Arabidopsis thaliana: one gene and its partner. The protein of the gene in region 1 interacts with the protein of each later gene in a pairwise test. Each region holds a gene or a part of one and is shown on either strand. Other genes may lie near its edges.

Region 1 (3,304 bases):
TTTCTTTTCCGGTGATAGTTACATATCTGTTTTTTCCTATTTCTAATTCATGTTTTTCCAGGGGATATTATGCCCCCTCATGGAGTGCGAGCTGCTATGGAAATGCAAGCTGAAGCTGAGCGTAAAAAGAGAGCCCAGATTCTTGAGTCTGAAGGTAACCTTGACTGACTTGTCTTTGAGAACTCATCTTCGAGACTGAGCAGTGCTTGCTACGGCTCATAATGTTATTCTTGGCTAAAATCTATCTGTTATTCCTTTTGAGTTTCGTTTTTTGCATTTGGAAAAGAAGAGGCCTGCTTAGCATGTTTCTAATCATTGCTTTACTAAATTTGACAGGAGAAAGGCAATCCCATATCAACATTGCTGATGGTAAGAAAAGTTCTGTAATCTTGGCATCTGAAGCAGCAAAGATGGACCAGGTGAATCGAGCACAAGGTTAGTGAGCCATTAAGATCGAGAACACATCAGAGTTGCATGTTATGTCCATTGTTAGTTAGTTTCACTAGAAGAAAAAGTTAGTTTTCATTTGCTTATTTTTCCACTGTACACTGATGAATGCTTGGTGCATGAGGAACTATTTTCGTTACTGCTAATGCACAATATGGTTGCTATCTCCCACTGGTTTTTTCTTATATTATCCTTGATGATGTTCTACAGGTGAGGCAGAAGCAATACTAGCTAGAGCACAAGCAACTGCGAAAGGCCTGGTCTTGTTATCTCAGTCCCTCAAGGAAACTGGGGGAGTAGAGGTGAGTAATTGAGATCAAGCAGAATATTGGTATTCATAGTTTTGATTTAACTAACTAGCTTTGATTAATTAATTCTTCATAGTATTTACACAAATTGCTAAATGTGTACGTCTTTATTCTCTTTGGATAAAGGGTTCTGTGTCTTCTTGAACTTTCCAACTTTTGGAATTTTAAGTCATATCACTATTATTGCTGTGTTTAGGTTTCTTAACTTTTTCTGTCCAAAATATGATCTCATACGGTGTCACTGTAAAATTTGCAGGCGGCGAGTTTGAGAGTTGCAGAGCAATACATTACAGCCTTCGGTAACATTGCCAAGGAGGTAAAAACAAATCAATTACTGTAATCTCTTCCAGTCTCTTGGCATAGCTCGGGCTTATGTAATGTTCATGTTTTTTGTTTTTTTTTGGGGTTTAGGGTACGATAATGTTGCTTCCAAGTGGTGCTTCAAATCCTGCTAGCATGATTGCTCAAGCTTTAACAATGTACAAAAGCCTTGTCATCAATGGTCCAAGCAAAGATCACCAAGAAACACAAGCACTTGATGAAACAGATTTGGAAGAGTTGGAAGACATGGGTGAGAAACATATATCAGAAGGCTCTAATAACCGATCAGGCTCAATATCATTTGACACAGAGAAACCAGGTCACACCGGTGAACCACGATTTTCTCTTCAGAACCGCAACAAGGATCCGCAGTAGGCAGCCGAACCGGGGATGAGATAAATTCTTTGGGCTTGAGAAAACTGGAAACCATTTTTCATCTTTCAAATATGAGGCAGTAACCATCTTTTCCGTTTGAATAGCTAGAATATCATCACTTTGCATATAGAAACGAATCTGAACATCTGTTCTCCGATAAGAATTTTCCTACTGGATTTGTTATGAACATGGTCCTTGTGTTCTTATTCACCTTTATTCCCATTGCATTGCTTATTACCTGTACCCGTTATTATTCGGTTCGGTTGCAGAGTATTGCAATCTAACCAGGAGGAGCTTGTGAATCCATGAGATGTCAGAATTTGCCAGCAGAAAAGAAGCCATTGCCCCCTAAACAGGATATAGAAGAATGGTGGAGATAAAAGTTGTCCTCCGGATAAATAGGTCCTCACAGAGAATCAAAGGTGTAATGACTTGTGATTCTGAAATTAACCAAAACTTTACCTGAAATAGCTTTAGTCCATACGATTCCTGTATGAATCTGTTCACAGCCCTCTCCTCCATTTGCTCAGCCTCCGGTTATAAAATTAAAGAGTTTTGGCCTCTTCAAAGTCAGCTTTGTCTAGAGGAGTTCTCCTTTTCTTTCTTTCTTTTTTTGCTCCACAGCTCTTCCCATTGTAAGTTTTGTTTTCCAAACTAATCCTTTCAATCCAAAAACCATGGGAGCCTGTGCGAGCAAACCTAAGGAATCTGACATCGTCGAAGGCTCTGTCTCGACCGAAAATGCTGTTGTTGAGTCCAAGAATGCCGCGACCGAGACAGATGCCACATTAACTCAGGTGAGTCCAATATATTCTTTCTAAATAATTTAGTAGATGATCTTAAAGATTCTTGAATTGAATAACATGAAATTTACCAATTAAACAGAATTTACTACAAATTCTTGATTGAACAAACTCATATTAAGTTAAAACTATTGTTGCTGATTGTTGATTAAAGGAGAAGAAGGAAGAGTCCATTGAAGAGACAAAGAAGGAAGGTGAGACAAAAGAGGACTCCTCTGAGGCAACCAAGGCTGAGCCAACTCCAGAAGCTGTGAAGGCAGAAGAAAAAACATCTTCTGAGACTGAGCCACCAGCACAAGAGACCACACCTGCTGCTAAAACCGATGAGGCCCCTCTCGTGATCCTTTGATTTTCATTTCATCAAATCTCAAAATCATGAGTATGTGCAAGTGCAAGTGTTTCTCACATTGTTATTCGTATGTTCATCTCTGTTCTATTGTCAATATGTACAATACCCATGTACATTCTGTTGTGCCCGCCTCTAGTAAATTATGATTAACGAAAAATTACAATTCTTTTTTATATAGCTTATGATGTGTAAATATCAACACTAAAACTGGGACATTCAGTTGGCACCAAGTAGATCGATATCTAGACTAGAGGTTCCTCCTCTATGTCCCACGGTTGCAGAGGATAAAATGAAGAATGAGTACATGGCCTACAAAATCTTGGTTCTTTTTGCATGTCGATTCCAACTACCACGCATTTATAGCAAGGATATTAAATTTCCGGTACGGTTTTAGTTGGATTTCGGAGAAGGCAATGTACACTTTTACCGAACACCCCAAGTTTTATTGGTCGTAAACAAATACTACAGGCCACCATGGATACATCTAGTGCGCATCTATATCGAGGCTCAATTAAAATTTTAACGGACCCCAATCAGACGTGTCTACGCAAGGCTCAATCGACCAGTAATACAACTATAAATAAGCAATCAAAGCAGCAAATGGGAAAACCAGCGTTATGTTTTGGTATGAGAATCATGTCAGCAACAACCAAACGGTGTATATATTAATAACTATCGAGAGAACACAACCAGAGTTAGGT
Region 2 (3,932 bases), on another chromosome or scaffold:
CTTGTTCTAAGCTAAACTAACAAATATAGATAAGTTAAGTAGATTAAAACTTACATAATTGAATATTTACATGTTTGGAAAAAAAACTTGAGTAAAAGAAAAAAAACTTGATAAAAATCACTAAAAATTATGTTTACACTTGAGTTAAAAGCAAACATTTTATCTACATAAGATGATACTAATACAAACTAATGGCCTATATATATTTGTAATCCATGAAATTTAATTTTATTTTTGTAACAGACATTATGATTGTAACATTTTAATTTCTTTGCCCAAAAACAAAACATTTTATTTTTAAGTTATTCGACTTCTTATTTGTGTTCATCCCATTTTTTTGTTTCCAACCGATGAACAACGGAAGGTTGCGTCAAAACGCAAAGGGTTGTGTTGTTTGTGTTGAAGTGGAGCTCCTTCATTTTAGGAACAAGCAGAGGACGTTACACAATCAAACTCAGTTTCTTCCCTTATTTAACGTAACCACTAATTCTATTTTCTTGTTCTTTTACAAAGTTCATAAATGGAAATGAACACGTAAGAAGAAATAAAACAAAGTTCAAAACTAAGAAACAGAAAAACAAAAAAAAACATAAAAAAACATATAAAAAAAACATAAAATTACAGAAGAAAAAAATGGGTAGCTTCCTTGAGGTTCTTTGTGCAATCTTCATACCTCCTGTTGGTGTGTTCCTCAGATATGGCCTTGGGGTAAATTTTTTTCATTCATAAATCATAAAAATATATGACACATTTGACATTAATGGTCAAAGTAAGATCAAATCTCTTGTTTTTTTGTTTCTTTGTATATGTGTTTGCAGTTGGAGTTTTGGGTCTGTTTGCTTCTAACGTTATTCGCTTTTATCCCCGGACTGATATATGCCATCTACGTTCTCACCAAGTAGGAATAACCAATCAAAAACACTGGATCCTTTTTTTATTTTATAACTTTTTCTTTTTCCAACAATGTTTGCTTTTTTAGATTTTTTATGTTGTATTTAAGGAATCAGTTTTGTAATCTAGCAAACTTTTTGCTATGTTAGATGTATGTAAATTCCAGCAGTTTCCAAATTGCTGTTGTTCTAGTTTGCAGAGGTTATGGATACATTTTACGGATCATAAACAGATTTGGAAGATTGATGATATTATTATATGCGTGATATAAATTTTGAATTGTAGTAATACTACATCTAAAGAGTGATCAAATTATTAGTACCATTAGGAACTATAAAGTTCTGATAGAGATATTACATGGAGTCATCGATACACACAGTTTACTTATGCGTATAACGATAAATATAAACCTGTGTACATACATTTATAATTTTATATAGCTTCTGCAATTCCGATTTGAAGATTGCTTGAATCGAATACCGTGTGGTATAGGCTCCCATGAAGACGTTCCCAATAATCCCTGCATATACAAATTCTTTACCTCAAAGTGGTAAGCAAAAAATGTAAACAAAATCTATTGAAATCGTCCCATCTTACCAAAGAGGATCAATTGGTATAGTCAATGCTCTCCCATAATGAAAAAAATTATGAGCTACTTGGTTACAACAACGATTCGAATGAGAAAAATATTATTTTCTAACCTTAAATATCCAAGATATCGGTGTAAATTCCGATAATAGATGCGTCTATTAATCCATTGTTAATGCTGTCAATTAAGGTTTTTTGCAATCCCCTCTAACTCTCTAAGTGTACCTCGGTGAAACCTCGAATCTACTTTACACTAACTTTTAATTAGTTCGTACTAATTAACGAAAAAAAAACCTTTTAATTAATTCAGAAAGACAGAAACCAACTCCTTGAAAAAACAAATTGTTTTTCCGAGCCACGTGTATCACTTGGATCCGACGATTATTGTGTCCGGCCCATTAAGATAGTTAACACTTATTGGGCTTCCAAATATCAGCTAATTAGACACGTGGATCTGATTCTCTTCTCCGTCTTCTTCCGACAAGCTCGACGGCGACACAGCCAAAGAAACTACGCATCACCGGTAACGACAGAGATTGCTTTTGCTTCTGGTATTTATGTACCAATTCTGCTCTCTTTTTTACTGCTTAGATCTTAACCCATATAGAGTTATTATATCTGTTGCTCGTTTTTGAAGTTGCCCTTATACTGCTCGATGAAATGCCTCAGTGAATATCTTAATCACAAAACCGAATAGTTTCGTTTCTCTTATACTTAAATTAATTTGGTGTTGTTATTACAGAGAGAAATGGCGTTAAGGCAGAAGTTAGGATGGTCAGAAGGAGATCTGATGAGATCAGATGCTAAGCCATGTTCAAGACTGATGAAACAAACAGCTGCCATTTTCACTGTTGGTGGAGCTCTTGGTTTCTGGGTTCTTTGCAGACTTCACTATGGTAAACAAAGTTCTCTCCTTTCTAATCAGTGATTTGCGTTTCCATCAAAAGGTTGTTCTCCATATAGCTATTGAATCCAGTGCTCTGCATAATTGATTGTTAGAAAGATTTCTTGTAGCCTTATGAAAACATACCAATGCGTATTACCATTCTGTTTTCTGTTCTGTAGTATCCGTTTCTTATGAGAAAAATGAATCCAAAAGGAGCTTTGATTGAATAGTTTGATGTGGTGAAAGATTGGATCTTTACACGTTTTGGGAAGCAATACACTTGTTCTTTGATTCCTATTGTCATGAAAAATGATTCTTGGGGTTGGTTTGTTGTTTATGTGGTTTTAAGAGTAAAAGGAACGTAGAATAGAATAGTTGAGTCAATTCTAAGATAGAACGGTTATAAAAGCAAATGTTTTCTTTGGGAAATGTGTAGGTCCAAGGATCACAGTGCCAAGGAGTCTGCGGTGGGCTGGGTGTGGTGCTTTGTCCGTAAGCACATCAACTGCAATGCTTGTCCGTCTCTTCAGCCCTGAATGTGAACCACAAAACATTGCTGCATATGATAACATCAAAACCCCTCAAGCTTCACTCCCTTAAACCCCATCATAATCTGGCTTTACCTATGATGTGTATGGACCTCATCTTCTGTACATTTTCTTGCAGTACATGAATTTAGGTAACTATTTATAATACTACCAAATTCTGTCACTTTTTGTTTCCTTTAGAAATTATGGTGTATTTTTTCATATAGCCTTTAGGTTGATAGAGTTAAGAGTATCATCCTATGCTCCTCTCTCATTTTCGTGTGTGTTTGATTATGAGTGTAGTGTAATTGGCCATTGGTCACACTCTTTTGGGAGAGTGTTTAGCTTTCTAAAGCTTTTGCTGTCGAAGGGAAGACCTTTGGATTTATTTGGAGGGTTGGGTCTCACTATCCCCTCAAACTAGTCATAGGTGGAATATCCACACCGAGGTTGTGACTTCATGGAGATGCCTGCTAGTTAAATATGTGTAGGAATATGTTTGATCACCAACAAACCTAATGCTACCATTTCTCGAGCATAATTAATTAATTAATTATAATCGACATCAATGTGTTTTGAATGTGAGTAAAGAGCTAGGATTTCAGTGATATTGTCATATAGACACAGCATATAAGCCTGTGGTATTATAATGTCATGGAGAACATAACTTAATCAAGTGAATTCTGCAAGCTATGGAGGCCAAAGATCTAGCTTTTTGGAACGGAGGTTGTTTCTTTGCATTTCGAATGAAAACAATAGTTGAAGCAGAACATCCTTAGGTCAATAGTTTGAATCCGGTAGGGTCAGATCTTATTTTCTAAAGCTTGTTTCATTCCATTTTCAGTGTTCTTTGACAAGAGTATTACAACAAAATCGTTATCAAAAGAGAACTCAATAAGAGAAATGCATACATGTCAAGTTTTTTTTTTTTGGTAAAAGGTTAAGTTACGTTACATGCCAAGTTTGTTATAGGGAATGAGTGGAAATGTCAGAGGTTACTTTCACTATACTTGACACCTTATGATGTTTGAACCATTGAC

Evidence for each region.
Region 2: the proteins of AT4G27580 (region 1) and AT1G57540 interact in a protein complementation assay, tested with the Arabidopsis thaliana proteins (one large-scale study listed by BioGRID).

What each region holds. Positions count from the first base shown.
Region 1 is NC_003075.7:13,765,131-13,768,434, reverse strand, and holds AT4G27580 (phosphatidylinositol transfer SFH5-like protein), read left to right. Parts: upstream 1-1,837; 5' UTR 1,838-2,128; coding exon 2,129-2,248; intron 2,249-2,408; coding exon 2,409-2,603; 3' UTR 2,604-2,776; downstream 2,777-3,304. Other genes in the region: AT4G27585 (SPFH/Band 7/PHB domain-containing membrane-associated protein family), read left to right, coding at 62-154, 337-435, 658-749, 1,012-1,071, 1,167-1,451.
Region 2 is NC_003070.9:21,309,511-21,313,442, reverse strand, and holds AT1G57540 (40S ribosomal protein), read left to right. Parts: upstream 1-1,921; 5' UTR 1,922-2,030; exon of another isoform or gene 2,031-2,221; 5' UTR 2,222-2,227; coding exon 2,228-2,375; intron 2,376-2,801; coding exon 2,802-2,965; 3' UTR 2,966-3,548; downstream 3,549-3,932. Other genes in the region: AT1G57550 (Low temperature and salt responsive protein family), read left to right, coding at 634-708, 819-902.